Arabidopsis thaliana: one gene and its partners. The protein of the gene in region 1 interacts with the protein of each later gene in a pairwise test. Each region holds a gene or a part of one and is shown on either strand. Other genes may lie near its edges.

Evidence for each region.
Region 2: the proteins of HUB1 (region 1) and HSFC1 interact in binary tests that used the Arabidopsis thaliana proteins (3 or more experiments, as listed by UniProt).
Region 3: the proteins of HUB1 (region 1) and GI interact in binary tests that used the Arabidopsis thaliana proteins (3 or more experiments, as listed by UniProt).
Region 4: the proteins of HUB1 (region 1) and KNAT1 interact in binary tests that used the Arabidopsis thaliana proteins (3 or more experiments, as listed by UniProt).

What each region holds. Positions count from the first base shown.
Region 1 is NC_003071.7:18,541,578-18,550,629, reverse strand, and holds HUB1 (histone mono-ubiquitination 1), read left to right. Parts: upstream 1-1,977; 5' UTR 1,978-2,382; coding exon 2,383-2,499; intron 2,500-2,679; coding exon 2,680-2,841; intron 2,842-2,924; coding exon 2,925-3,003; intron 3,004-3,122; coding exon 3,123-3,350; intron 3,351-3,448; coding exon 3,449-3,610; intron 3,611-4,340; coding exon 4,341-4,534; intron 4,535-4,609; coding exon 4,610-4,693; intron 4,694-4,818; coding exon 4,819-4,938; intron 4,939-5,034; coding exon 5,035-5,221; intron 5,222-5,311; coding exon 5,312-5,472; intron 5,473-5,554; coding exon 5,555-5,626; intron 5,627-5,839; coding exon 5,840-5,916; intron 5,917-6,289; coding exon 6,290-6,484; intron 6,485-6,595; coding exon 6,596-6,668; intron 6,669-6,760; coding exon 6,761-6,847; intron 6,848-6,923; coding exon of another isoform or gene 6,924-6,959; exon of another isoform or gene 6,960-7,083; intron 7,084-7,085; coding exon 7,086-7,223; intron 7,224-7,308; coding exon 7,309-7,511; intron 7,512-7,605; coding exon 7,606-7,771; and 4 more. Other genes in the region: AT2G44970 (alpha/beta-Hydrolases superfamily protein), read left to right, coding at 135-263, 375-424, 510-607, 688-975, 1,158-1,631. UniProt on the Arabidopsis thaliana protein: E3 ubiquitin-protein ligase that monoubiquitinates H2B to form H2BK143ub1. H2BK143ub1 gives a specific tag for epigenetic transcriptional activation and is also prerequisite for H3K4me and maybe H3K79me.
Region 2 is NC_003074.8:8,938,655-8,944,444, reverse strand, and holds HSFC1 (heat shock transcription factor C1), read right to left. Parts: upstream 3,380-5,790; 5' UTR 2,991-3,379; coding exon 2,763-2,990; intron 2,734-2,762; exon of another isoform or gene 2,679-2,733; coding exon 1,914-2,678; 3' UTR 1,571-1,913; downstream 1-1,570. Other genes in the region: AT3G24514 (uncharacterized protein), read right to left, coding at 5,496-5,521. UniProt on the Arabidopsis thaliana protein: Transcriptional regulator that specifically binds DNA sequence 5'-AGAAnnTTCT-3' known as heat shock promoter elements (HSE).
Region 3 is NC_003070.9:8,059,210-8,068,685, reverse strand, and holds GI (gigantea protein (GI)), read right to left. Parts: upstream 6,936-9,476; 5' UTR 6,705-6,935; intron 6,496-6,704; 5' UTR 6,289-6,495; coding exon 6,124-6,288; intron 6,044-6,123; coding exon 5,989-6,043; intron 5,911-5,988; coding exon 5,768-5,910; intron 5,684-5,767; coding exon 5,412-5,683; intron 5,266-5,411; coding exon 5,210-5,265; intron 5,041-5,209; coding exon 4,803-5,040; intron 4,677-4,802; coding exon 4,526-4,676; intron 4,400-4,525; coding exon 4,190-4,399; intron 4,090-4,189; coding exon 2,557-4,089; intron 2,445-2,556; coding exon 2,376-2,444; intron 2,075-2,375; coding exon 1,856-2,074; intron 1,764-1,855; coding exon 1,671-1,763; intron 1,557-1,670; coding exon 1,239-1,556; 3' UTR 896-1,238; downstream 1-895. Other genes in the region: PFL (Ribosomal protein S13/S18 family), read right to left, coding at 1-83, 349-509, 694-696. UniProt on the Arabidopsis thaliana protein: Involved in regulation of circadian rhythm and photoperiodic flowering. May play a role in maintenance of circadian amplitude and period length. Is involved in phytochrome B signaling. Stabilizes ADO3 and the circadian photoreceptor ADO1/ZTL.
Region 4 is NC_003075.7:5,145,710-5,152,895, forward strand, and holds KNAT1 (homeobox knotted-like protein), read right to left. Parts: upstream 5,451-7,186; 5' UTR 4,902-5,450; coding exon 4,434-4,901; intron 4,323-4,433; coding exon 4,197-4,322; intron 4,093-4,196; coding exon 3,954-4,092; intron 3,407-3,953; coding exon 3,150-3,406; intron 2,467-3,149; coding exon 2,260-2,466; 3' UTR 1,990-2,259; downstream 1-1,989. UniProt on the Arabidopsis thaliana protein: May play a role in meristem function, and may be involved in maintaining cells in an undifferentiated, meristematic state, and its expression disappears at the same time the shoot apex undergoes the transition from vegetative to reproductive development.

The DNA of each region.
Region 1 (9,052 bases):
CCCCATACTAGTAGATATGTAAAATCTTAATACTATGAATATGTGAAACTGAAGCAATACAATAATCTCTATACACTACTACTTCTTGTCAAGTTTTCAGCATTTGGGTGATTGATCTATTTTAATTCAATCAGGCTCATTGAGCGGGCACGGAGGACTGTTCGTGGCTCGGCAGATGACATAGGATGGTTACAGCGTGCCCCGGAGATGCCTCCTGTTGAAGATGGAACTGATAGGTTCAATAAAATTCTGGAAGACATCGGGTATGAATTGGTTGTAGTTGCATGTTTTGTGTGCTTTGTGGCCTTTTCAATATGCTGTTTAACATCCTGTTTTTTACTAAATGGCTGCGTTGATCTGGTTTTTATATCCAGGCATGGTGTACACAGGCTTCCAAATACAGTGGTGTACTTATTGGTTCCAGGTAGCAATTCTTATTCTTTGCTGCCAGCCACTTAAACTACATTACTGTATATTAGGACTCTCAAAATTAGTTGAATTTTTTTTAGGTCTTTTCAGCAATCATGGACCTCTATATTTTGTGGATACGAAAACGAAATTCTCAAAGATGGGTTTGGCGTGTCATATTGCGAAGATTCACAGCGAGGTAATCATAACTAACTCAACTTAGTACAGTTACATTTGGTGTATAGCATACTAATATATGGAGAAATGTTTATATATCAGTCCTCGGTTGAGAAAAATGCGAGAGAGATAAAGGAATACATAGAGGAACTCTGTTGGGGATCTAATAAGCGGGTTCTACTTCTTGGGCATAGCAAAGGAGGCATAGATGCAGCTGCTGCTTTATCACTATACTGGCCTGAACTAAAGGATAAGGTCGCTGGGTTGGTACTGGCGCAGAGTCCATATGGTGGAAGCCCAATAGCTACAGATATCCTCCGTGAAGGACAACTAGGTGATTACGTCAATTTGAGAAAGATGATGGAGATTCTAATCTCCAAAGTCATAAAGGTTTGCAACATTCCTGATCTAACAAAGTCATTTCAGTTGCATTATATCAGCTTCTTGTGATTGCCTGTTAAAATCCTTAGTTAGGTGGAACCGAGAAACTAGGGATAAACCAAAACTTATTTTGTTTCTGGATTCTATTGCTCTGCTGATCTTTCTGATGAATTCCTTGGAACATTGTGAAGGGTGACATTCAAGCATTGGAAGATTTAACATACGAGAGAAGAAAAGAATTCTTGAAGAATCATCCGCTTCCCCGAGAACTCCCCACGGTTTCATTCCGCACAGAAGCTAGCATTAGCCCAGCGGTTCTATCCACTTTATCACACGTAGCACACGCTGAACTTCCTCTGACAAACCAAGCCGCAAAACTGCCAGTGGTAATGCCACTTGGTGCTGCAATGGCTGCTTGCGCTCAGCTACTTCAAGTCAGATACGGTGAAAAGAGTGACGGGCTAGTGACTTGCTGTGACGCAGAGGTTCCTGGTTCTGTGGTTGTTAGACCCAAACGTAAACTAGACCATGCCTGGATGGTGTACTCTTCCTTGAACGAGGTTCCTTTAGAAGCTGATGCTGCTCAAGTTTGTGAAGCGCTCTTAACTTTGCTTGTCCAAGTTGAGCAAGAGAGGCAACAAAAACTCGCAACAAAAATCGATTGATAAACCAAATTGTTTTATTTCTACTTTCGTCTTGAGACTTCAAATTACTGTATTTGTTTCTATCTTTTTGTTTTATTTCTTACTAATTTACTATCAGGTTTGAATCACACGATAACAAAAAAATTATTACAAACGGTAGATTTTATATTTATAAGACTACTTAATTTGCTTCTTTTTTTTTCTTTTATTGTTGATTAATTTTTATTAGAAGATTAGTTATGTTTTTCTCTCTATTCCTTTAACGAACCGTGATCGTGCGGCTCGGATCGTTGGAGATTCTATGGACGGCCGATGCTTATATACTGTAAGTGGAATATGTAATTCCCGAAAGTGCCCTCCAGATGTTCACAAAATTACGCCATCGTACTCGAATTAACTTCAACTCTCTCTTCTCTCTCTCTTTCTTTTCACTCTTGTTTTTGTTTCTGTGAGTGCTGTGTGTGTTCTCGGTTTGTAATATCTAAGTCGCACAAAGATCAGACAAAGTCTGTTTGCGTTTGATAGCATTAGAGTCTGATCGAATTTGGAAGACCTGTGAGATTAGGGTTTCTTTTTGTTTGTTTTTTTTTATTCCGAAGGAGAGCTGCGGAGCAATTGGAATTACCTCGGTTAAAGCAATCACGTAGCTTTGGATCGTTTAGGGTTTTCTCATTGGGTTTGGGGGATTTGTATTCGAGCTTCCTCAAACTCAATCTGATGGTGATGTGAGACAAGGCTTAATCCTGTTAATTGGCGATTCTAGGGTTTTTCAATGGCGAGCACAGGCGAGCCTGACCGTAAAAGGCGTCACTTTAGCTCCATATCACCTTCTGAAGCTGCAGCCGCCGTAAAGAAACAGCCTTTCTTTTGGCCCTCCTCCGAGGACAAGGTTTCTTTCTTCTTCATCTCCCCCTTGTGCATGCCCTTTACATCTATTCTCTTACTTATCCAATCAATCATAGCTTTCCAGCTATTAGAGATTCATATACTGAATGTCTTTTGTCTCGAATTTGGTCTATTTTGGAATTGGGATTCTCTCTCTTAAGGAGTTTGTTTTCGTTTGATACAGCTTGATACTGCAGTTCTTCAGTTCCAAAATCTTAAGCTATCACAAAAGCTAGAGGCTCAGCAGGTTGAGTGTTCTATTCTTGAGGATAAACTCTCTCAGATCAAGGAAAAACAATTACCATACAACTCCAGTTTGAAGACTGTCCATAAGTCTTGGGAAAAGGTAACACTGAATTTGCTTTCGATTCTAATAGAACTTGGATTAGATCTCTTTTTCTAGAGAACTAATTAATGCTTGTATAGCAGCTTACAGCTTCAGTGGAATCATGCTCTGTTCGTGTGAGTGATTCAAGCAGCGGAGCTCATAGGTTTGTAAACAAGGAGGGTATGAACAACTTAAGCCCGCCTTTTCTTCGTTCTGTTAGTGCTAGGATCTAGTTTAGATTTGGTTTTATATGTTACAAATATGACTTTTTGAAAGGTTAACTTTAAATTGCTACACAGATGGGTCTTCTCCAGCCGTGAAAAACGATTTCATCAACCGGCTACTTGAAACTGGTGCTACTGAGAGCTCCTCATCCAATATCTGCTCGAATCAGATGGAAGAAAATGGAGTGAATACGTCAAGCCAGATGACGCAAACCTTGTATAATCTAGTAGCCGCGACAGAGGATTTGAGGTGTCTGAAGGATGAATTATATCCCACAGTTCTCAGAACCAATCTTGGTAAAGGTATGACTTCCACTGCGATCAATTGTCAGCTCTTGTTATGGCCTTTATAACATTTTAGTATTAACCCAGGTCCTATGTGGAATTGCTTTCTTTTCTAGATTTGTGCGGTCAGCTAGCTCTGAGTGAGTTGGAATCAGAAATTAAAAGTTTCAGAGGGGATCTAGATGATGTACTTGTGAAGTTCAAATCACTTTCTAGAGAATTGCAGAGTCATCGCGATGCTGATGCTAAAGTTAGAGTAGACCTCAAACGAATAAGAGGTAGCTACTTAGTCTCGTCTCACTCGACTATATACTGTTAAAATGGATTTTTTAATTGGCATTGTTTATATGGATATAGTATTCATGCATCAAATGTAAATTTGTAATCATATACGTGGCTTGACAAAAAAAGGTCCTATATACATGAAAAGCTACTGAAATCATATCTCGCTTTTGATTGATGAGGATAAGTGTAAGTAGAGGTGATCAAATTGTGAATCTTCCAATTCCACGCCTGTGTATTTATGTCCAGCACTACTCAGTTGTTTAATAGCCATGATTGGATTTAGATCATAGAGATTAAGATTGAAGAGAGAGATACATTAAGACTGGAAGAAAACCTCTATGGTAGAGCCAGCTGTTAAGAAGACATGTAGCTGTGGAAGATATACTCATTAGCGAACTGATGGGTGTACAAAACCCTTCTGAGACATGAACTTCTTAGTTTTCTTTTATACCATTTACCCATATTTATATATTTCGGTAGATTTTAGGAGATAGAGAAGCTGGTAATTCTTTGAGAATGACATACATCCACATAAGTGAAGCATCTTAATTTTGTTGATAAATTACCCGTTTACCTTAAGATGTAAGATTTCAATACTGACAGTAGCCACAGTTAAGAAATTCAAAGAGTTAAAATTTATTTTAGTTTACATGCCTGCTTTTGGATTAATGCTTCTTGACTACCGCATCAACTGATATTATACTTTATTTGGTCTATTCGAAGGGGAGCTAGAGGATGAGGTTGTGGAGCTTCAGCAGTGTAATGGTGACTTGTCAGCATTGAGAGCAGAAAGGGATGCAACAGCTGGGGCGTTTTTCCCAGTGTTGAGTCTTGGAAATAAGCTTGCTACCAGTGATCGGGAGAGGGATAAACAAAGGGATCTGCAAGACATGGAAACAGTTCTGAAAGAGTTAACGGTATCTTTGTTTTTCTGATTTGTTTTCATTGGTAATTCTTTAAGTTTTGGGTTGATAACGGCCTGGTTTCGGTAGGTCCTGGCTTCAGGCAGGCTACAACAGCTAAAAAATCTTCATGAGGAGAGGACAAAGATGCTTGGAAAAATGAGTAATTTACAGGTCAGTGTATTGATCCAATTGGGGTATTTGTATTAGTTTGTCTCTGTATGGGGTTTGATATATGAAAATTTGTGGAATGGTAGCCTCTTCCTATTGCTAAAACTGATGTAAGAGTTTTCTAACAGAACAAGTCAAAGTCTGTGAGGTGCATCTCATCTTCTCAAGCCTGCCTTTCTTTGAAAGACCAGCTAGAAAAATCCAAAGAAGCAGTTTTCCAGTATATGGCTTTACTTGAGAAACTGCAGGTTATATCTGGTTTGCGATTTTCATTTTGTATCTATGTTTATAAAATTTACGTTGTATATTTAGTTGTGAAGCTTTCCTCCATTCGAAAATTTCAGGTTGAAAAAGATAGTATAGTCTGGAAGGAAAGGGAGATAAATATAAAAAATGAACTAGGTGATGTTTCTCGAAAGACGTCTGCTGTTACTGATTCTAGAATGGCTTCTTTGGATTCGGAGATACAGAAACAACTGGATGAAAAAATGCGAATCAAGACTAGGCTGGGAAATATATCAAGAGAGCGAGGTCACAAATTGATTACTTTGACTTCCAATTCTGTATCTCCCACCCACACCTGTTTCACTTTGGAGTCTGATTAAGTTATTCGTATGTCAGGTAGAAAAGAAATCTTTGCAGATATGAAGGCATTAATTTCTTCGTTCCCCGAGGAAATGAGTTCCATGCGTAGTCAATTAAACAATTATAAAGAGACTGCTGGAGGTATTCATTCTCTGCGGGCTGATGTCCAGTCCCTCTCTGGGGTTCTATGTAGGAAGGTGGGAAATAATGTGAACAGTGATTGATGCTTATTGTTACAGTTTATGTTATGCTTACTTAATAAGCTTAATTGGTGAACAGACAAAAGAGTATGAAGCATTGCAATTGAGATCAGCTGATTATGCTTCTCAGTTAGGTGACCTGAATGCTACGGTATGATGCAATGTATCTACCTTTTTCAGTGTACTGCCCATGACTTATATATGTTGACAGTGTTCATATTGGTTATTGTTACTTTGCATTATTTCTTGGAAAAAGTATAGTGAAAAGGCGGATTAGCAATTTAAATCTTGTTAAATGTCTTTGGTTGGCAAAGTGGTAGTTGTTATGTTCTTTACTTTCAATTGATTGGAGTCTGTCATGCAGGTTTGTGATTTGAAGAACAGTCATGAGGAGTTAAAGTTGTTTCTGGACATGTATAAACGTGAGTCCACTGATGCGAGGTAAGCACAACTATATATAACGATATCTAAGATTTCAATTCTTAGAGAAAAGTTTCCTTATCTTCCCCTTCTCACTGTCCAAATATATAGTATAACAACAAGTGCTGTTATTAATCTTGCCTTCTGACTGAACTATCGAATCTTGCTGAAAGTTTGTTGTTAATTTTTCTTGCGTTTCTGAAGAAACTTATGTTCACATTTTCAATTTATCCATGACAGCTTTTAATATCTGATCTATTTTTACAGTTCCATCTGATAAAAACTCTTTTGGATGTGTTAGGATTTGTTTATCTTCTTATCTTGACTGAACACATTATTATAATGCGGTTGGTATATTGCCTTAAGCATCACTGTCGATAATGTGCTATGGCAGGGACATAGCTGAAGCCAAGGAACAGGAGTACAGGGCTTGGGCTCATGTTCAGAGTTTGAAATCATCCCTTGATGAGCAAAATCTGGAGTTGCGCGTTAAGGCAGCAAATGAAGCTGAAGCCGTTTCCCAACAAATGTTGGCTGCTGCGGAAGCAGAGATTGCTGATTTAAGGCAGAAAATGGATGATTGTAAAAGGTAAATAAGTATAAGTAGAAGTCTGCAATTTATAGATGCAATCACGCAGTTCTTCCATAGGAATTCTTTGAGAGTTTTTTGTTTGACAAGGATAAGTCTTTTCTGTTTCAGGGATGTCGCCAAGCATTCTGATATCTTGAAATCTAAACATGAAGAACATGGAACATATCTTTCTGAAATACAGGTTGGCTTATGAAATTTCGTGTTTCTTTGTTCTTAACATATTTTAAAAACCTTGATGTTGCGTATCGATTTACAGTAACTATATTCTTTTAGACAATTGGAAGTGCCTATGAGGACATTGTACCGCAAAACCAACAGCTTTTGCTTCAAGTTACAGAGAGGGATGACTATAACATCAAGGTATCGTGTCCAAACTCTTCTAGTTCCTCTATCTGATCTATCTCTGTGACTTCTCACTTACTCTTATATCTAGTAGTGTTACATTTATTCAGAGATTGATGGATCGTTTTAATGGGCATGGACCAATTTCTGTGGTTATACCTTGTATGTTTTGCTAGAATATCATGAAAAAAAGGATGGTTTGTTACTTGGATCAGACAATGAGATGTAATTTTTTGCTCGCCCATTGTTGTTTCAGCTTTTCTTGGAAGGCATAACTTCTAGGCAGATGCAAGATACTCTGCTTATCGATAAATACATCATGGATAAGGATATACAGCAAGGCAGTGCATATGCCAGTTTCCTATCCAAGAAATCATCAAGAATTGAAGATCAGGTATATCTGTGTGTGCCCGTATGCTCAAATTGTAAGCCTCCTTATTGTGAGACTTTGACTAAGGTGTTTTTCTTTTTCCTTGCAGTTGAGGTTCTGCACAGATCAGTTTCAGAAACTAGCGGAAGATAAATATCAAAAGTCTGTTTCTCTTGAAAATCTGCAAAAGAAACGTGCAGACATCGGGAATGGCTTGGAACAAGCTAGGTCAAGGCTGGAGGAGTCCCATTCTAAAGTTGAGCAAAGTCGGCTGGATTATGGGGCATTAGAACTGGAACTGGAGATTGAAAGGTAAATCAATTGCTCCCTCCATCTTCTCTATCCTAATTAATAGTCATAAACAAGTGTTAGTGATGAAGGTATCGTTCTTTTCTGCGTATATCAGGTTCAATAGGAGAAGGATAGAGGAGGAAATGGAAATAGCCAAAAAGAAAGTTTCTCGTCTTCGGTCTCTCATAGAAGGATCATCGGCCATTCAAAAGCTCCGACAAGAACTCAGTGAATTTAAAGAAATTCTGAAGTGTAAGGCCTGCAACGATCGCCCAAAAGAGGTAAAGAGTCACTGCTCTCCATTATTTAGATCTCAGCAAGACGCTCAAATCATGATCCCTTGAATCTTTTAGTCAACTGCGTGCGTGATTGCTGATTGGTTTTGGTCTTTGGCTTAACAAACTAGGTGGTGATTACGAAGTGCTACCATTTGTTCTGCAACCCATGTGTGCAAAAGCTCACAGGAACTCGACAAAAGAAGTGTCCAACATGCTCAGCAAGTTTTGGACCAAATGATATTAAACCTATCTACATATGACCGCACCAAAACACTCTGAGCATGATGATGTATGATGAAACTGTGAAACACACACAGGTACTTTTTCTCATATAGGATAAACATTAGATCTCTCTGTAATTATTACTCTCTTTTATTGGGAAAGGTCATGAAGAATAATTGGATATGGCAAATCAGAGTTTTTGAGGAACCATTTTGGGATTTTGATAATGTGATAGAGAATAGGTAACACTGTTAGGGTTTATGTCTTTGGTGATACTTCCTTTTTGTTTGTAATTTGGAACATGGTTTCCGCAATTGATTTTTCAATTAAATCTTCTTTTTTGTTCTACATTTGTGTATGATCCAAACGTTTGTGATGTAGTGTTCTAAGATTCTCAATTTAGAAAACACGAGGCAAGATTTTGGATATTTGTACCATTTGCGATGAATTGCAATCCAATTTGTTTGTTGGCATCTCCAAAGACTTCGATCCTTGGGATCATGATTCGAGATGGTCTTTCACAATCCTAGGTAGGAATTACAAGTATTTTTGGTGGATCTCCAATGACCTTAAATATTATAAGTGAATTTAGTACTAGTGTTTCTCTCTGTAACTACGGTTTGTAAAAGTGGGTTAAAACCAATAGTTGAAAATGTAAGAAAAAGACTAAAATCATTTCATGCATTATCAATTTTGAGCTTTAACATACAACTTCGGAATGTACCGTAAAAGTATTTTAGATGGCCTCAATACCATGTTTTCCCAATAATACTTGCTCCTTTAGCCCTTTACATTTCAAGTATTGCAAGTGTTTCCTCTTCCCGCAAGACATGATCATTGGTATTTGCCGCACATGTTCTTTTTCTCTTTTCTTTCTTTTAAAAAAATGGCTGAGAGGTGAAAAGAAAGAGTTAATTTATTTGAACAATATGCTCTTAATTATTTTCTTCTTCGTATTGTTATTCTCTTCTGCTACTGCTTTGAGTTTGGTCTTTCTAATTGCTTGCTTTTTCTTTTCTTGGCCACTTTATTCCCAAAGATAAAGATCACATGTTTTAGCTC
Region 2 (5,790 bases), on another chromosome or scaffold:
TTTCATAAAAAGAAAGCACTTTTTAAGGGGAAAAGATTCTTGGTTAAGAATTGAAACCTCTAATCCAATCAAAATCTAACATACACTAATTTATTGTTTAAGCCATCACCAAGAAAACCAATATCCTAATGCAAAATTTACCAATTAAGTAATGCATAATTATGTAGCTAGATTTAAATTAAGAGGACGTGGGTCAAATGTTAACCACATGTTAGGTGCATTATAAAAATCCAAAAAAGTTACATGGCTTGAATAAAACTACAATTTATAGCACCAAAGAATGGTCCTTGATTCGCTAGATCCTAAGTGACAATGACTTCCTCCAACCGGCAAGAGATGGTTCGCCCTTTGTCAACTTACAACTATTCTCTCTTTTCCTTTTTTAAGTATATATTTCCATTTATGTCGAGTCTTACGCAATTGATTTGGACAAGAAAAACTATTCTCTTATTACTAAATAAGGTTAGCTAATCCACAACCAATAGTATGTTTTGTTTCTTTGATAAACAATAGTATATGTTGTTAGCTAATTAATAGTATAAAATGAAAATATTTTAGGCCGACTTAGTTTTTAATGGATACTAGACCATTCAATATCCTATTAAGAAGAAAATTATTCAACTTTGTTCTCCTATTAAGTTGGAGAAATTTTTCGCTATTTTTTTTTTAAAGACATATAAAATATTATTCATAAATTAATATAAAAGATAATTCTTAACTACATCACAAATAAGTAAACAAGTCTTTTAACAAAAAAAAAAAAGTAATAAGTGAATACTTAATTTATAAAATTGAGTAAAAGATCATAAAACTTTATAAAGTTACGAATCTTTACAACTTTAATAATATTATTTAAGTATTTTAACAAAAGAAAACATAAGTATTATCGAAGTGTTAAAAAATCAATCATAAACAACAAAACAAAATTGTGATAGTAACTTTATATGATGTATGCGTATGAGCGTATCGTAGAGCCGACAATCAAAGTATGGACCCGAACATCTTACAAGAGATTTTGCGATTATCTGGTATAACCACGCGTCCTCGTGTGAGAGACATCAGGTGGTCCAATTTAGATTTATCGTTGTTTTATACTCTCTCTCTCTCTAGCCCAATGAGTGTTCGAAACGTTGTTGGCCGACCAAAGTCCCGTGGCTAACTGTCACGTCTCAAAATTTAACAATGTCATGTTATCAATTTTAGATGAAAGTGAAAGTGGAGCGTCGTGTTGATGATACGTTTGAATCTTGAATGGATGTCTCGTTGACTTGTTATCAGTCGACCGACTTGTGTCGCCTTAACCACGTGGGTTATATATAGGCAATGTTTCTTCTACTTTATGATCAGCTTTAAGCATGTGGGTTATATAAGCTAGTAAGTCTATATACCATGTCAACTGATTCGTTAATGTGTTTGAGAACAAGTGTTTCAAGAGAAAGAGTCAAATACTCGATATGGTTTAGTTTAAAGATGGCCATTAACGATAAATTTGAAATGGTATATAGACTTAATTACTAGCTTAAAGTGGAAAAAGTAAAGCCTATATTTTGTTGTTATTACAAAGATATAAGGCTACAATAATACTTTATTCAAAAATCAAAACACTGAAGTAGTGAAGAAGATCAAAATTGTTGTTATTACAAGTGTGAATATATTACACAAGTCACCTGAAAGTACTTTTAAAAGGAAAACAAAGTCAACATATGAACTTTTAACAAATATAATCAGAAATTATATACTGTCAAAACTTTCTACAAACGATGACTACTGACTCAACTATGGATCTGTCCTTATTTTCTTTCTTTCTTTTGGTTATACATAAAATAATTAAGAACAAACACACAAAAAATAAATAATAATAATAATATAACAATAATAAAGTCTAAAGATCATATATCATGTGAAGCTAAACGCTAAAAGCCACCTCGAAACAGAGAAAATGGATAAGGCGGTGTTGTTGGTGGATTTGACTCTACCACTCCTCCAAACGTCGCCGTTTCTTTATACCTTCTTTCTCCCTGAATACTCCCACATCCTCCTCCTCCTCCTCCGTTAACACTCTCCGGCAAAGAAAACGTCGACGTCAAAGATGATGACGTCGACGACGTTGAATTCGAGAGCATCGACTTCGCCACCAAACCCGTCTCGTAACTACCAAACTGTCCTTGCGTCATAGGAACAATCCACCCATCCGGTGAATGATTCCGGTAAAGATTCTCCGTTGATGACGGCGACGGTGTTGATGATGACATAACCCTAAAGACCCTCCCTTCATCTTCTTCCACTTCTTCTTCCTCTGACTTCACCGTCGACATCGTGACACGACGCTTCTTCTTGTCGGAAACTTGTTGTTGTTGCTTTGTCCGTTCTTTCTCGAGCATCATTCTTGGAAGAAGATCAGGATCTTCAACGACTTTGTAAAGAAACGCCATCATCTGCTCCGGTCTCTTCTCCGTCGCTTCGATCCTCCGGTTCATCCTCTGAATCTCTGCCTCTAGCTCCCTCTGCTCTTCTTTTAACCGTTCGATCTCCCTCACAATCTCACCGTCCTCCAAATCTTGACCGTACATCCCCCGCGCGTGTTTCCTACGCGCTATGTTATTCAACAAATGCTTCTGTCCCCTTAGAAAATGCTCGTTCGCAAACTCCCACCGGTCCGGATCCACTTTCCTAAACCCCTAAAGTAAATAAAGAAAGGATCATTAGTTCGTAATCCCCTGTTTCCAGTTTCATGTATGAGTTTCGGTTATGAATTAACTTACATAGGTGTTGAGTTGACGAACAAAACTGCTGAAATTGTTGTGTTTGAAATAAGCAGGTAAGATTCGTTGCGAGAAGTCGAGTGGATCAACGACTATGAAACTGTTGTGAGCAGGTCCCCAAGTGATGAGCCAATCGGTGGAAGGATCATTGACCATCTGATATGTTTTCACGATGAAAGGTGCGATCACGTTGTTGTTGTTGTTGTTGTTACTATTGTCGTCCTCCATCTCTCTCTTTCTCTGTTTTCCTTATGGTTTATATGTTTGTTGTTGGTGGTGGTAAAGAAATTAAAGAGGAGCCTGGAGGGTTTATATAAAGATAGGAAAATGAGATGTGAAAATAGTAAGTTAAGTGTAGTTGACAGTGAGACTATATTGACGTGGCTTGCTTTTTGTGATAACGTGGCGGGTTCGTGTTTTGCCTTTTACGGTGTCACGAGTGAACTGTGGGACCTATGCAGGTGTGCCTCTAAGCTTTCAGGTCTTTTTTGCCCTTTTTGTTTTGTTTATATTTTCTTATGTCACAAGTTATGTGATACATTTGAAATATATGCATATTTAGGCATTGTTTTTTCTTAATTATAATTTTAAGTCATAGATGATTTAAGCTGCTTGACTAATTCTAAGGGTAAGCTAGTCCCAATATAGAAAGCTTAGTCCATCGATTTTTCAACTGGTTTCCGATCCCGAATTAGAAGGATATCTATGATTCATTTGTAATTTCTGCACAAACAAAATTATTTGTCATGATTTCTTTCTAATTCTTGACATGATTTGTTTCTTTCACTTTTTCACAAAAGAACCTCGTCCTCTTCAAAATACTCCAAAACTCTCAAGAGTGAGAGCAACTTATAAAAAAAAAACACATTTGGTGAAACAAACAAATCTTCTACAATGAATAGAGAGGGTATAATTTAATTTATTATATTATAATTTTTCTTTAGTTTACAATTATGTTAAAAAACGTTAGAAGGAACATGCTGTGTATTCAGATTTTAACTTAAAATATCCGACTAATTTAAAATAAAAAATTGCAAACAATAACACTAAATGCCAAGTAAACATGATTTTATAGACAAACTCTTCAATCTGCAAAAGCACTCCTATTTTCTTATACATACATATCCATGGACTCTGGAATAAATAGCCACACAAGTGTTGCTACTTGCAAGAGTTATTATAGGAGTATTATTAAACAATGATTAACATAAACTACTACAAATATAATTGCTAGGTTAAGAATTAAAACCAATAAGTTCCAATAAAAAATCACACGCATCAAAGGCATTACTATTTTATAGTTTAAACCACCACCGAGAAATCCAATAGCAATCTTATATAAAATTTTCCTAATTATTAATTGGATAGATTAATGGGATTAATCTAGACTTAATTAAGGGGACGTGGGTCAAATGCTAACCACATATTACGTATGATATAATAATATAAATAGTTTGAATAAAACAACATTTATAGAATCAAAGCATGGTCCTTAATCCTTGAGAGCCTTGGAGATAATGACCTCCTCGTATAGGCGAGAGTACAGTTCTCCACTTTTCATTTTTTTAATTGTTGTCTCCTCTCTTTGTTTTTCTTAAACTATAATTTACCTTTTCAATCGAATCTTAATTACAACTTTATTTGAACAATATATATATTACTCTCATCGCCAAATGGGATTAGCTATAATCCACAAGCTATAGCTTTTGTTTGTTTAATTACGTACTATCAGTAGTACAATTTCAAAACCTAAGGACAATTTTGATTTTTATGGGATACTTGAAATTATTAGTCAAGATTGATAGGTTTAATTACTTACTACGACAAAATTTTCCAAACTAATATATGTTTTTATTAAAATTAGCGCTTTGTCAACCTACAATTAAATTTATCTATTTCGATTATTATCAGTTACATAAATTGAGAGGACGATAAAAAAGTATTTTGAGACATCTCTTCCCCACCTTATAATTTTTGTTGTCCATAGCGAAATAAAGGAGAACAAGAGATAGTGTAACAGTGAGACGGTGACGTGGTATGCTTTGTAATAACGTGGCAAATTCGTGTTTGCTTTTTACATGCAGGTGCCACAAAGCCTTAGGTCAATTAGCTTTTCTTAGATGGCAAGTTATTAGTCCGAGCCGTTGTGTATTTGTGTGAGATGTTTTCAAGAGACGACGAGCGTGTGGGTGCTTGGATACTGACATGGTCCGCACTGGTTAGTGACGGAGGAACTCAGGAACAAGTACTGATTCGACACGTTGCGTAGAATCTTTTTTGTTGGCGATGCACACTCCACTAATCGAGTATTTTTGTATTTATGGAAAGTTTATTCATTATACGTTGCTTAATTCAGGTATACGACGAACATGATTTTTCATTTTTATTATAGTGTCACACAAATATTATAGGAAACTGATGTCGTACGGATAAAATAGTTTAGTAGACGATTATACGTCACTTCATACGTAACAGGGACAAAAGCGCACCCTATAGAGAAGCAAGATTTATTAGTTTATAGATTTGTCTCCAAATTGGTTATTCGTTAATTGTTGAGAATAAGATACAATTATTTAAGTTTCATATCTCTAAACATTTATTTTGCTCATAATTAAATCTAAAATGCTGATAAGGTATTTAAGAATTTTTTTGATATTAATATGTGGGGAGAACTTGTTTTTTTTTTTGAAGATCCGTCTACTAGATATACAAATTTATTATATAAAGAAATAGTTAGAATATGAAAACATCTGTGTAAACTATTAAAAAAATAGAAATTTAACGACGAGTCTAACAGAGAAGATGATAAATGTAGACTGATATATTTAAACAATATCATTGTCGATATAATCTTTTTTTTTTTTTTTTGCAAAGATTTGTTTTCATTTATTCAAATCAAAACAAATATAAGAAGGAGTGATTCAAAGATCACAAAGTTTAAAACATAATTAAAAGAGGCATTCCCCAAAACCAAGATATGATAGATAATGTGAAACGACATAAAATTCATGAGAGCTTTGAGCCACAA
Region 3 (9,476 bases), on another chromosome or scaffold:
ACCAGTCTGGGATCTTGAACTGGCGAGGGTTAGCAACGATTGTCATGAGGTTATCAATCTCAGCAGCACTTAGTTCTCCAGCCCTGAATATACCAGCAAAGGAAAAAACATTTAAAAACACACACTAGACCAAACTTCTTCAAGAATATCAATCTAGAGAAGTTCTATGTGCAAAGAAAACCTAAATATCTGATTTCCTAGAAATCAATCAAACCAGATCGAGCAGGTACAATTCTAGTCAAAGAGCTACATTTTCTACTAACATCCAAAACCTCGCAAGATTCATAATCCTTATCCATAGAATTCCTAAGTAACTGAAAGTATTAAGAACCAAGCTAAGAAACAAACCTCTTGTTCATGTCAACATCAGCCTTCTTGCACACAATGTTAGCCAATCGCCTTCCAATACCCTTGATTGAGGTCAAAGCAAACATAATTTTTTGCTTCCCATCGACATTAGTATTGAGCACACGCAGAATATGCTGAAACTCCTCGTTCGCAACTAGAGACTACACACACACGAATACGAAAAAAAAAAAACAGATCCGTCAGTCGCAAATCGTGTAAGGGAATACAAAAAACATTTGAGCTTAAAACTCCAATCCCAAAACCAGCAATGAAAAACGAGCGATACGCAAAATGAAGCACGAGCAATTGGAGAACCAGACAAGAGTTGAAGAACGATAATCGTACCATTTTTGGATGCCGAGAAAGATCGCGAGAGGAGGATTAAGCTCTTTTACCAGACTCTGGAGGCGCCACCACAGCTTAAGCTCAGGTCTGTTATAAGCGGCATATTTAGGGTTTTCCAACCTAATATGAAGCTCCTGTAGTTAATTACTAATTTACCCTTTAATGTTTTTTTTGGAGGAAAAAGATTAAAATACTATAAATTATCTTTTGCAATATTAATTTTTGCTGTTTTAAGAGTATTCGGAAATAAGTAAATTTGTAAATTTTTCACTTCTATACATTACGATTTAGAATCCACTGAAGACTAAACACCAGACGCACAAAAAAAAAGATTGAGCTACTTCGTCATTTAAAATGTACAGAGAAGAGGTTGAGTTATATAAGACACCGAGCGAGAGCAAATCCAACGCCGGTGGGAGTGATTGCGTCAGTCACTCATCATTACAACATTACATACAACAAACTATATATATATTCTTCTTGGTCTACGTCCAAATGTTTTGTCTAGAGAACTAAAATTTACCAAAAACAAAAGTGGGTGCTCGTTATTGGGACAAGGATATAGTACAGCCGAGTTCCCGAGCCGCAGTGTCGAGAAACTGAGTAGGCATAGTTGTGGAGAGCAAGCTGTGAGCTTCCCAGTTTAAACAGTTTTGGATATCGGCTTTCCAGTCTATTGAGGCGGCGTTGAAGAATCGATAGGACGGACTATTCATTCCGTTCTTCTCTGTTGTTGGCAGTTTTGGAGTTACTTTGATGGGTATGGAGCTTTGGTTCATGATATCACGTAGTACTGACGTGCTTAAGGCACGTACGTGTGCACTTGGGTGTGAAAGGCACCGTATTGTTGCTGGTAGACGACACTGCATAGAAGCAAAAAGATGTGAACAAGGTTAAGCACTTTGGTAACTGGACCTACTACTGATCATCTACAATCGACGCAGGAAACCATAGGCTCTGTTCGATTCTGCTTTTACCTTCAATAGATTGGATAAACCGTCGACCACTGCTAGTCCAGATGGCCCCCAAGCTAGCACCGGCTGTATTGCTCTTGCCGTGGCTTCAAGTAGCTGCAAAAGTTTAAAATACAGTGGAATCAGAAAATGATTATTACTCTAGCCCGAAGAAGGGCATTGAAGAGCAATCTATAACAGTGCAGTACCTCAAGTTGAGGTAATGTACAAGCTTCTCCATCAACAAGCATTCCATCAGTTGCCCGCAGAAGAAGATCTGATGCACTTGCGAGAATCACCAGTGACTCAGGCCTGTCATGATTGCGCATGAGTTCCACCAACACTTTGACTATCCGTTGGTTGATTTTCCACATTTTTTGGCCTTCTTCATCATCTTTGGCGATCCAAGGCTGCAACTCCCTTTCAGCCTGTAAATAACACAAGACCATTTCAGACAATAGAGCATTAGAGTAAATCCTTCAACATATGAGCTTGAAACAAGCCATTATTTTACACAGATTTTTTCTTCCTTATTTCCTATCCTTGGCATATTAAAACAAGTGTTGCATATAAATTCCAAGCTTAATTTTTATAAATTCATGAGAGATCAAATGAGTGAACCAAGCATTATAAAACATTAACACAGGCCATAGGTTTTCCGCAGTTTAATCTTTACACAGGTGTTGCATTCCTGACAAATGAAATAAAAAGTCAAAGAGTAATTTGGACCTGAAGGACAACTGCTGCTGCTGCTTTCGCTGGCGTTGCAGATACGACATTGCATAGCGCATCAACAACCTGATATATAAAAAATATGATCAGTGTATGAAGTCGAGCGACTTAATTGGATTAGTAAAGAACTACCAAGGAAACTGTAAGCGAGCTGGGAAATAGAAGTGCTGAGGTTTACCTGTCTCCATCCTTGTTGCGCAGAGGTGCTTTCTGCGGTGGGCTGGATTTCAGGAGCAGCAATCAGTTTGTGCCATAACAGTGAAACAACGGAGAAAGACAGCTCCGGTTTCTCTGCAAGCACTGACCTCAAAAGCTTTTGTGTACCACAATAGAACCCTGCGAGTCTATCAGCTGTGAGGAAATTCGCAAGATCAGAAGCATCCAAGAGGAAATCTTTGATACCCTTCTCTGAGGGTCTCCCTGAGCCTTCATCTGAATGTCTAGCATACTTATGGTTTCCTCTTGGATTCATTTCAGTCCTTGAGGCGGATGTCACCGCTGTATCAAAGCATGTGGTGCTTGCACATGTGTTCTCTTGTTTCCAGTTTAAACAGGTCACAGAATCCTTCTGAACCGGTGTATTCTTAAGGTAGGCTTCCAAGGGTTCAGCTTTGTCAACAATGGAGGCAACAACTTTGCTGTGAACATCTATGAGGTTATATAATGATGATGCTCTTTTATGAATTTCCTTATCCCACTTACATCTCATCAACCCAGACAATGCATGCGTCAAGGCCTTTGAACGTCTGAACAGTTCGGAAATATGAGCTGCAACCATGGCCGCAGCAACTATCTCACTAGAACTGTAACTCCATGGAGTCCCCACAGAAGATGGTTTTAATGAAAAGAGTGCCTCTAGGATTGCCAAAATTCGGCGCGTATGACTAATTGCCGAGTCAATCCCAGCTCCATACTCTTTAGATGACCCATTTATCTTTACAGGCTTTGTAATAGTTCCAGCCACGGCAGAATTGGAAAAGTTCCCCCCACCAGAGATCATAGGATACAGCTGAACCTCACAGGCAAGAGCACAAACAGCAGCAAGAACGTATGAATCAAATGCTGCCACAGGTCCCTGTCCCTTGACATTCCTACTTTTACGGTTAGCAGTTTGATTGTTAGATACAGGTTGATTCGCCTCAATATTTTCAGTAGTACTAGCATATTCACTTCTCGGTCTCTTGCTACCACTAGACTGTGCTTCATGGCTAACACATACAGTCAACACAACAAAAAGTAGGCGTGAAGCTAATTCCACACCAGCGCATGATTCTAAAAAGAGAGCATGGACCATAGCACGAAGCTCAGACATAGCAAGATTTTTGGTCGCTGATCTTGTGGTAAAACTCGATCTAGCTTTTCTGGTTAGTTCCCTGGAAGATTCAGGCGGAAAAGTTCTACTGAGTATTGTTTCCACAGTGGCAACAAATATTTTCATCAAGCATGCTTCCGAAGGACTCCCCCGTGGAAGATATTCAAGTACTTTGAGGAGTGGAATGTATAAATTCCATGACAAGATAGGAGGTTGCAGTGGGGTAGCAACTATGATTTCGGGAAGATCAACCGCCGAAGAATTTAAAGGGATCAAACCATAAGCAGCTTCCCATATAGTGCAAATTCTCCACTCAACTTCAGGACCATGAGCACAAAGCATTGAGGCAATTCCTTGGGCAGTGGCTTCAATGGTTGCTTCTGCTGCAGGAACTTCTATCTGTTGAGATGAAATGAGTCAGTTTCAATATAATTTTCTAGTAGAATGCCAATCGCATATCAGAGATGGAATAGCAGAAAAATATAAAGAGGAACCATGCCTGTTTTCTGTAATTTGAACTGTAGCCACCAATAGGCGCGTGCTGAATTTCTACTCCCTCAACTTGACTTAGCGGAGGAAAAAGCAGTGCCGGCTGTGAGAGTATGCGGAAAAGCAAAGCGGCTGCAGCATCAGCAGCAACACCTGCCCTCATAGACATAGCAATTCCTATAGCCCGCAAGAAGTGCAAATGCATCCAGTTCCTGGGTAGCTGCACCAAGAAAAAGAATGTGATCAAAGCTGATTTCTTTGATGACATACCAAAGCTGACTTTTTTTATAACAAGGGACACAATTAGCTTTCTGGAGGGTAATTAAGAGATTCATATTACGCTTACCCTTACACCAGATGCATAATCTTCAGCAGCTCGAAGGAGTTCCACAAGCTGTACAGCAGCATCAAGTGCATCTGGAGCCCACGACGGTGGTGCTTCTAAGAGTCCAAGAAGAAGTCTCTGCGTAGCACTTGGAGTTGCAATGGCATAGTATCTGACAGTATAACAGGAAAGTGAGAAAACAATTCTGATCTAGGGATTCGAGGAAGCACAACCTTAAAACTAGCAACAGACTACTACCAATAAACCCTAATTGAAAGGGTAAGCCCAGAAACAATACCTATGAAACAAACGTGCATATGGTTCAAGAGCTGGAAGGCCAGCAACTAGATGCTCATCTAAGGATGTCGTTGGCGGAGGAAGAAGAAGTGCAGGGACAGCGACCGCTGTCAGCGTAGCAGTCTCATATCGAGCAACTTCATCATCACAAACACTCAGTATGACACCAGCTCCATTAGCAACAGCCCATCTTGGGGTTGAAGGCATCAGTTGAGGATGTTTACCAGATCCTCGAGAAGCTGCCAAAGTAGGACAACATGAAAGTTATAGGAAGCAACTCAAAACACATTCTATAGCCACAGGTGATGGATACACATTTATGAACGAAGTGATAGAACAACTCTATTGATCAGAATTATCATCAAAATCCAGTTCCAGGGGATATTAACATGGAATTCTTGAACTCACCAATGGTTGGCGGCTTGAGCTCTCCAGCAGCATATTTACCCATTACACCACTACACCTGTAAATAATAAGCAACATTTTTAGTTGTCAGTAAGCTTAATCCACTACAGAACCTCAATACATAGACCTCAGCAGAGAGACCAAAATAAAAGAAGGAGGCCGGCGCATGAACACATAGAAGCATCAGTAACAGAGTCTACTTACCATCGGAAATAGTCACTTCTTATACCAAGAGGAGCAGCAAGTAGTATATCACTGATCCATGGAGACAAAGGCCTTAAAGGTTTCCTTTCATGCTGTGTTGGTGATCCAGCCTTAGGCTCTGAAGTCGGAGAACCACTAGTTGTAGCTTTGCTCAGACAATTTCTCTCTGTATCTCCATTTTGCTGCTCAGTTTTATAAATGGGACGGTTGTAATGAGTCAAAATGCGAAGGATTTCTCCACATGCCAAAGCCCATTGCTCCGAATAGTCATTCTGTTAGGATAGTGAACATGTTAGCACAAAATGGTATAGGTTACACCAAATCAGTAAGCATGATACTAGACAGCTATTATATACCTCACTACTTGGGCAAACTAAAGATATGAAAGAGGCAAACGGATGAGCTTCCTTGCTGTACACCAACGAGCCATCAATAAGACATGAAATGATTGGAAGAATGACTGCATGACCATGCTCCGGATGATGAAGGACAAACATCGCTGTTTCATCAGAAAACGAAAATCAGATAGACATTCACACACAAAAAGAGAAGTGTGGATCATAAATGTTGATCATACCCAGCACATCGTCTAAAAGTCGCTTCTCAGTTGATGGATACTGATGCCGGACCAACTGATACAGATAAATTATACATGAATCAAAACGTCACTACTAAGAGAATACTCTTATTAAACTCATTAGGTATCAAGTACCTCAGCAATGTCATCTGGGAATTGCTCTGATGTAAATTGACCAAAATATTCAACATAAGCAACGACTTGATCCTTATGTTGTTGAGGATCTCGTGGCGGAGGCCATAACAAGGAAGAGAACTGAAGACCATCGATCCATCTCTCAGATGAAGATGAACTAGCCATCCAGGAACCGAAACTAAACCCCAACTAGATGAACGAACAATCTAACTAACACCTTTCTTCTACTATCAATCGAGAATCAATACGACGTAGTGTTAACATTCGCCAGCAAGAACAATCACTATACACATCTCCCAGATTCTTTTAAATCCTTTTTATACTAATCAACACACTGTACACTAAATCGAAGCTGAATCAAACAGCTAAACCCTGTAACAACAATTCAGAAGAACAAAATCTCAATCAGATAAGATGTCAAATCAAACAACAAATCTAAGCTGAGAAAACAAAAAATGCTAGTAGAAACAGTGATTTACCAAGAACTTATTTAAAAAAAAAAGACATCAAATGATTCGGGAAAAAATCTCATCTGAGAATCAATCAACCAAAAACCACGAAAAAGGTAGTAGAAGAAAGACCTGAAAGTAAATATGTCTTCCTATGAGTTTGTTGGTTGGTTATCTCTACTCTTGCTTTTTTTTGGCTTTGAGGATATTTTTGAGAGATCGACGAATATCGGAGAAAAAAAGAATACATACACAGAAGAAGAGATTGTGGTGGCCTTAGGAGAGAGAGAGAGAAAAAAGAGATTTGGAGGCTTCTCCACTCGGTTTAAGATTTCCCGTCTGCTTACGTGTCATCGATATTTCCTTGCCTTTGCCACCACCTTTATGCGCCATTACCATATAACCATCATCATCCCACATACATCTCCACCCATACCATGGTTAAAAAATTTACCATATTTTTGTTACATTTTTTAAGCATATATATATGAAATTTTATTTTAAAAAATTTTACTGGTAGTTTATGTTAGTGTTGTTTTGGAATCACAATGCGAATTCAAATTCGTATATTGTATGTTACAATCACCAAGAAAAATGTTTGCCAATTTAAGTAATTAATTTTAATCCTAATAAATAAATTTTGTAAACTCAGATTTACTCCAAAATTCTGTCTATTTTTAACCATGAGCTAAGTTTAAAATCTACTTAAACATATAATTATATCAATAATATTTGGCTGTTTTAAAATAAACCATTACATTCACAGTATGGCATATATTGGTAAAGAATTTGTACAAGTAATCAGAGAGATTATTTTATTTCAAGGTTTGGTGGTCATGATTGTATTATTGAGTTATTAATTTAAGTATATAACATCTCTCATGTGATTGCCTAATTAATTAATAGTTTCATTACACAAAAAAAAAGCTAGTGACATATGTCCACAGATATTTTGAGGGGAGCTAAGTTCAGATGCTACGAGATGTTACGTACACCTTCGAATTATCCACCGTTGATTCAAGCCCACTCAACAAATTCCTTTAAGAGATTTCGGGCAGCTAGCCCAGAATAGTTTCGAGCCGTTCGATGGTTGTAGATAAACGGGCAGCTTTTGAGGAACAGCCCGTTGAGAAAATATCTAAATGGGCCTCACACATCTTTTAAGATATTTTAAAATCTTACCACTTGTCTCTACTGTACCACATAAACAAGTAGCACAATAAAATGATGACGTGTACCAATCAGAGTGGAGCAAGAGATCTGTGGACGTTGATCACTCGCCAAATAAGAGACGTGGCGCAATAAGATGTGAGCAATATATTGTAATGATCTCCATACGATTCGTGATTGTGTGGTCCACTTCTGTCTGGATGGCTCTTGTCTGAAGAATACTCCATGGTAACATAACTGGGCTTTGGTCATGTACCATGTGATGTGATGGGCTCAAACCTTACGTGGAGTTATGTAACTGGGCTAAATTGTAATTTTAATTTTTCAGTAATTGCTTGTAATACAAATATATTTTTTGATATCAAATTGTAATTTTGAGGAGAACTTACTATTATTAATGAAGATGATAAAATGTTACATTAATGTATCATTCTAATCATAGTAAATATATTAAGAATTACCTCAATTTTTTGGTTTATGATTTACCAATTAGGGAAAACATTAATTTTAATAAAAGCTACTTTGCCTACCTCTTTTTTTTTTGTTAATATATCATTTTAATAACAAGCTTTTATTAAAGTAATATTATGGTGGAGAAATTTTTATAAAATTCTAAAACTTTTTGAAAAGGCGTATTCTCAAATTGTAGGCATTTCAGTTGATATATTATAAGTTTAAGTTATAGTCCAACGAATTATTTCTTTTGTGGTTTAGCAAACGAGATGTTCATCATTACCCATTTCATTGTCAACAAAACCTTTAGAAAATGATATTAGTTATCTTCAAGTATGACTATTATAAATTTATACAGTACAATATACTTTTTTCACAGAAGGACCGTGACATCAATCAATTTAGTATAAGAAAAATCAAATGGAAAAAAAAAAAAAAAAATCAAATGAACATCTTTGCAACGCGAAACTAAGCTCAACACTTGATTTATTCATTATGTTATACTTTAAATTTAAAAATCTTTAATGATATCTTCTTCTTTTTTTGCTAAATTCAAAAAATCTTTAATGATATATAAATTTAGTAAATATTACTGATTAGAGATATGCTGGTTTAGTTTTCATCCGATCATAGTTAGATGTGGTATTTACATAATATAATCCATAAACTAACATAATTCCCTTTTTATCTCAACTCAAAATATATGTAAAGGTGTATATTCAAAAAAGTTTGTCAAGTATTACGAACAAACAAATCAGTTACAATATTCAAATATTTGTCAAGTATTCATATATTTCTAAATTTCAAAGTAAGAGAAAAAAGAAAGTGGATGGAACAATCTAGAACCGAACACAATGAATGGAAATATGAGCAAGTTATAATTTAAATATGTAAAAGGAGAGTGAAGTCAACAAATGATGAGGCAAAGGGTCGGCTCTTGTAGCTCCAATGAGAAGGGTCAGACACATTTTGGACGGTGACATGTATCAACCCCACTCACTCTCTTCTTTATTCACTCATTTTTTTTGTTAGTCTTCTTGTGTGCTAATGTATGGTCAATTTGAAATTAGCACTGATGTTGACTTTTTAAAATATTTTCATATGAACGAGCTGGTTCATGTACCATGCCAACATATGTTTTTCAAATAAATTAATCGAATTAGATTCTTGTTGTGACTGAGAGTATTTTCGATCAACATAAACCATTCAAATTAACGTCATATCAAACACTATTATGAAATGAGTGGTACAATCATTGAATCGCTTGCTTCCAACCCCTCA
Region 4 (7,186 bases), on another chromosome or scaffold:
GTATCCTACAACATGGGGCAAATATGGCATTATTATAGATTATACATAGAATATTATAGTCTTATAGTTAGAATAGCTAGTTAGTTAATATAAGTTTTTTTTTTGTTATACACTCAAATTTCCCAAAATACAAATAGTTGAAAACTAAACTAAGTGTCACTAAATCATCTCACCAACAACTCTACACTAAAATTGTTTTTTCTCACCTTTCACATGCAATTTTCTTAATTTATATATATATATATATATATGATGTTATATTCTTAAAAAAAAATTTCAACTCAACTTTCATTAATTAGATTAAATGTAATCAGAGTGAAGTAGAGATGAAATACATCTTGGAACATAATAAAAGAACATAAAATCTTGACCAATTCGTGATTGATGCTATATTTTTAATTAAGTTTTCAAAAATGACTAGTTTTGCAAAAAACTCTTTAAAAACATTAGTAAAAAAAAAAGGATGATGATGCAAGAATTGGAGCTAATCCATCCTTTGATCACTTGATGAGCAAGAGTTCCAAACTTGCCACGCGGAAGGTGGGATGATGAAGGTGGTGATCTAACACGCTGGCGATCGCTTCTCTCGTGTGGGATCGATTCAAGGGGAATTGATGGGTAGTTGGGTGATTGACTCGCTCAATCAGTTGGGTAATCGACTCACTCGATCAATGAACGAATGAAGGATGTTGAATCACTCAACAAACTTAATCCGCAGATTCCTGACGTACTTCATGACTCACTCACAAAGAACTAAAGAACAAATGACAAAGACTCAACTTTGACAAGAAAACGTTTCTGTTACTTTAAAATGATCAAGGGTTGCTTTACAATGAATGAGAAATCAGCTTATATAGAGCTGAATACAATGTTCTAAGGCATTAATGAAAGAAACAAAACATAAATGAAAATATTGGACATTAATTGTAGAATATGTCCAAATAAGGCAAGTGAGATGTGCCTTGTATCTTGTCAACTTGGGGAGGAAGTTGTGACGTCTTGGAAGGTTCTGGAGGGTCTCAAGATTCTCACATAAGCGCACAAACAAAGAAGGAAAGAGTTGTTGGTAATCGATCTCCTTCGGCTCCATATATGGCAAGTAGTAGCTCAGCGGGTTCTTGTGTGGTAAGATGTACCAAAGTTCGTGTGGTATAAGTCTTGTGTGGTCTAGATGTTCTCCTGGTTTCCATATGTAGCTTTGAGGTGCGTCCAAGTGTAGAATAAGGAAGATTTCCTTGTTTGGCTTCATTTCGTGCGGTACTTCAGAAGGTAGTTTCAGCAAGTAGTTCAGCCGGTCTGTTAGCAAGTACATCAAATATATGTACTTTTGATATCTTCGAATCATTTGCTTGGTAAATGATTCCTTGATGACTTGATGTTGCCTCGTTAAAAACCTTTCTAGGTAAACCCATTGGGACAAACCCTAGATAAGGGAAAAAGAGTGCAACGGTCATATCCCCACAATATGGTGACTCGGCTCGCTGGTCTTTGACCCTTCTTGAATCATCATTAGTCTTCTTAGAATTAATTTGCTGGTGAATAATTAACCCTAGGCCTTGTGCTTGATTGAGACTCCAATTGGGCAAGAGTCCTCCAAAATGCTCTTCATCAATCGGTTTGATAAATGTACCGGCTGATTTGGTATGGTCCCGGTTTGGTTTAATTTGGATGTCCGCATCAGATGACGAGTGGGTGCAAAGGGAGAATCTTTAACTTAATCTTTCGACAATAGTTTTTTTTTTTCTGGTAGTGATTCCATGACCTATGTATTATGATGTAATGCTTTCGCATAAGTCATAATATATGCCTGAAACCGTGTTCGAAGCAAAGATGGTTTTGAGACTTATCAACTATCGATGTTTTACATTTTGTGGATTTTGTTTTAGCTTGTGGAAAGGCATGTAAGAATCCATTAGATCAATTTGGGTTTTGTCTTTCAAAACCATACATTTCATGCCATATAAAATAAAAAAATGGAGCAACACCTTTTCAGAATAGCATTTTCCTTTCACACATTATTAAATAAAAACATTAGTGAGAAAACAAAAAAACAAAATACACCGAAAAAAAGAGAAAATAAAATGAAGGGATATTTCTGACTAGGAAGTCTCAAACTCCCCGAACGACATAAGACATTACAAAAGGCGTGAAAACAAAGAAAGCTATAAGTAGCAAACTGATGTAGGGGAATTCAAAACATGAGTTGTAACAAGAAAGCAACGAGAGGTTGTTATTATGTGGCTAAAGCTTTTGGATGTCTTATGGACCGAGACGATAAGGTCCATCACCCATGTAATGACCATCCATGTACAGAGCTGCGTGGTGCGGGTGCTGCAGACCATCCATCACCATGAACTGCATGTCTTCAGATGGTTTCCAGTGACGCTTTCTTTGGTTTATGAACCAATTGTTGATTTGTTTCTGATCTAACCCCGTTGATTCCGCCAACGCTACCTTCTCTGACTCCTGCCACACAACTCAAACCAACCATCTTCATTTATGTAGTAATCAATGTATAAAAAGCAATGCTAGAGATAATCGAAAATTATTTTTAAATGATTCTAGACATAAAAATGGAAAATGACCTAAAGTTTGTTGTTTTGAACGATTCTCTAAGTAAAATGACTAACTTCATTTTTCTTTGACATCAAGTAACGACTAACTATATGTTGTCTTATTATCTTTTTAACAACATGTCATTTATATTTACCAATATTAAACATGTTTTTTTCACTATCATTACAGTCGGTTAGATTAGTTATTTCATTTCAAACTAATTAAAACTACAAAAAAAATTAAATTGTTTCAAAATATATGGATAAAAATTTCATCACAAACTTACATTTTTTAAAAAAAAGTGATTGATATACGTGTTAGAAAATAGTATGTTAAGGGTTAGAACACCATGACTAAGATATGTATCCTAGTGACTAATTCTAGTGTTGTGAGCATTCGGATTTAAAACCATGTTGTTGGAAACCGTACAAGGATTTAAACACAAAATCGGTCATGCAAGTACCTACTTGGCCTAACATAGCGGCTTCAGAGGGAATTGCTAGCTTAAAGATAGGTTTTTAAAACACTTAATTTGTAGTATATATTTTAAAAAATATGAGGGCAAAGAGAGATGAGAGAAAATTTATACGTACAGAAGGATATGGCCACTTGTAATGCAACTCCCACCACGTGAGAAGCTTCTGCCGTGCTTCTTTAGGAAGTTTACCTTTCTTTTTCTTCTTGGATAGTTCTTGCTTCAAACTGCTTAAGTATCCACTATACTTCTTCAGCAAATGGTTCTTGAGTTCCCGATCTTCGGCCCTCGGGTCTATTTCCGGTAATTCTGTTTCCCCTCCGCTGTTATTCTCTTGTTCTTCGTCTGATGATCCCATATTGTCACTCTTCCCATCTGCTTCAACATAATATATTTCATGAAGTTAAATGGTTTAGTCATTTAACAACATTCTAGTCATCTACCTTTATGATTAGACTAATTAATCCGAGTAGAGATTTTGATGTTTTAGCATAACGAAATCGAAGAAGATAATGTCCCAAATAAATCTTCACGAGCAGCACCAAAAGTTCTTGTGATAGTACTTTTGGGCCGAGTGAAAAGAAAAAAAACAAAAATAAGCCCCACCCATCTTTGGATGGATTCCACAATGGGGAAAACAAGAACAAATATGCACACCTATTTGTATCTTACATACTTTCCAACAATAATGCATCTCAATTATCTTAATTATCTTATAATCTTAATTAACATTTGAAAATGTATGTAGACTATGATTTTTTTTTTTTTTAATATCTCAATGTTACAACAATTTACCATGAACCAAAGAAACATGCCAATTTATGCAATCCATCATTAGCCCTACCTTGCCACTACACTTTGTTTTCTCCAGCCATTTCTTACATGTGCATATATGTATGTATATGAGATTGATGACATGTACCAGGATTGTTGAGGATGTGAATGGGACTCTGACACAACATGCTAAGCTGAGATTCAATACGACGTATAAACTCCATTGCTTCCTGAATGGGCCTTGTTAGCTCCTCACGATATTTAACCAACATGTCACAGTATGCTTCCTATTCATACCAAAAAATAAAAAAGGAAAATCAAGACTTCTAACACATATACACACAAAGAACCGACCCATTTAATTAAAATTCAACTTTGGTTAGTAATGAACCATGAATTGATCTAACTCCGGGTCTCTAGAGGAGGCAGAGACAGACGGTGTTGACCGCTGTTGTCGAGCCTCAAAGTCTTGCCGTGCCGCCGTAATTCTATCAACCACATCAGGTGGAGCTCCAATCTATATAAACCATGACCCATGAACATACATATATATGTCACACATAACTATATATTATATCTTTAAAAAAAGAGTATATATTATAACATAACAATAAGAATAAAACCAAACCTTTTGGCAGTCCAAGTAAGCTTGTAGGAGGGTAGAGTAGTGAGGATGAGCAATGATTTTAGCCTTCATGGCTTCAACATCGCTTACGTTGTCATTGTTGTTGTTGTTAGCTTCTTGAGTATTGTGGATGGCTCTCATTAACATGGAGTAATGATTGATTCTTGAGGAGCTAGCTTCAGATTTAACAGATGGGTTGTTGTTGTTGTTGGGTTGATCATGATCAGATCGGAAGCAATTCTCGGTTGTTTGAGGGAGAAGAGAGCTCATATGTGGAAACAACATGTGTTGGTGGTGATGATTGTTGTTGTTAGTATTATTGTAACCAGGACCATAATTGCTACTATTATTATTGTTGTTGTTGTTGTTGGTATCACTTGTGTTATCGTTTTTGTTGGAAGAAGAGATTGGAGAGTACAAGAAACTTACTCTTTGAGGAGTGGTGCTGTTGTCATGCTGGTATTCTTCCATACCCAGATGAGTAAAGATTTGAGAGAGAGAGAGAATATAAAAATCAAAGAAAAAAAATAAATTAAAAAAAAATAAAACCCTAGAAAAATAAAAAAGGATGGGTGTAAGATGAAGAGGATGTATGTATTCTTGCTTTTGTTCTTATTTCAATCAAAGGTCTCTGTAAGACTATAACCACATCAAATCCAGACGACTAGACGACTCATCTATGAAATCAAAAAGGCCTAACTCAAATTAATATAAAAAAAGAGAGAAAATTTTGTGAGGTGAAGTTGCACCCAAAGAAAAACCAAATAAATTGAAAAAGATATATTTGAGGAAGAAAAAACGAACTAGGTATATAGAATTCGTCAAGGAAGTGACATGGAAGAGAAGAAAATAAAAAAAAAAAAAAGAGAAAGAGAGAAGAAGAGAGAAAGAGAGAGAGAGAGAGATTAACAATAATGAAGAAGTTGGGTGGCTTGAGTGGATTGACAAGACGTCGTTTGCTTTGGGAGCAAAAAGAAATATTTGAAAATTAAAATAAAGGTAAGAGAGAAGGGACAAGAGATAAGGCAAAGGCTTCTCTCTTCTGTTTTCCTCTCATAGGCTATTTTATACATTAGAACAAGACTAAGTAATTTACTTAATTAAAATGTGGTTTATAATATTCGAATTAAGATGAACCACTCAGTGTTTAAGCAACTAGGTCTTCGCGGCTACTTCAGGCTATGGTTTCTTGCTAGGTTGAATGATATATTTTGTACTATTTTCTAGTAATGAAATGTTTTTTTTTCTTAAAAGAATAGTCAAGAAAAAAGTTTTAAAAAAAATATGTATGATTTATATATACTTCTAATACGATATAAACCCAAGAATTTGTAGTCTAGTGGTTGAACATAGAGTTCGTTCAACAAATTGTGATCATGTGTCACATTATAATTCTATACTTAGGAGAGGGGACTACGTTTATCTTGTTCTGGTCCTCGGTTTCACTGTACGGGTTTCTGCCTAAAACTTACGGATAACAAAAAAAGAATTATAAACAATATGATAGAAATGTACATATTTGATGCAAGACTTGGATGTTTTTGGAGTTTAATCAAATCGATGAAATTATAATTTTAGTTTTCGTAATTTCGTATGTATATTAGTGGAGAGATCACACTATCCGAATATTTGTTATCGGATAGAAGATTACATTAGAAACCGAGAAAAAAAAAAGGAATTATAAAAATGCTTTACAGGATAGTGGATATTATACGATATTCTGCTAATTTCCAACTATTGGCTCTATGATAAGACCATGCTGCAAACACACTTCTTTCAACACTTGTTCTGTTCCACGGTCAACATTCAATTTTCTATTTAATCTCGATTTATATTTCATGATTCATGAGACGTATAGAGTGCCTATGAATTCATTTTTATACAAAAAGAAACGAAAATCCTAGGGTTTTATTTATATATAAATCGTCAAATCCTAGGGCTCTAGATCAAAAAGTTGGCTCATCGATAGATTTTTTTTTTTGTTTACCTCATCACTGCACTAGACCGAAACTTACATTGTGACTTGTGAGAGTTTGTAAACAACAAAATGTAAGATTTCTTACAAATTATGACTTGCTATGCCGGAAATTTTGATAGTAAATATTTAAATATATATGTATACATATATTATTTCTTACTATTAAAAAAATAAAATCAGCTGCTTAGAACCAATATTATTAGAATTTCATTAAAAAAAATCGAAAATGTTAAAGGTTAAATTTTTGCATTCGAAATGTTTTCTTTTCCTTTAAGACCTCCTCTTATTTTCTGTTTCAGTATAAGATGCTGAAACATTGACATCATAAAAGATCATTCATTAAGGGTACATCTTTGAATTAAATATCATAATATTCCAAAACACAAGTGCAATAGACTAAAAACACACTATAAATAAGTCTCTGATCCCAATATTCTCATTAATATGGTCATGCAAGAAGAATATATATATATATATATATATATATATATATAAATAAAAATATTATAATACCCATAACCATATGGATCTAATTTCTTATAATTTTCTATTAAAAAAAAAATTGTTTTCAAAAGTGTGTACAATTTCATAGAATTCTATCTTTTAGATTAGAAAGTCAATTATAACAATAAAATAAAACATTCAATTTATTATATAAAAATTCACCGGTAGGCATAGATTGTTCTCTAAATTTATTAATAAACTCATTTACTCATAACTATGTAACGACTTGTATGAGGTTATCTAAACCTGCAATAAAACACTCAAGAGATACACT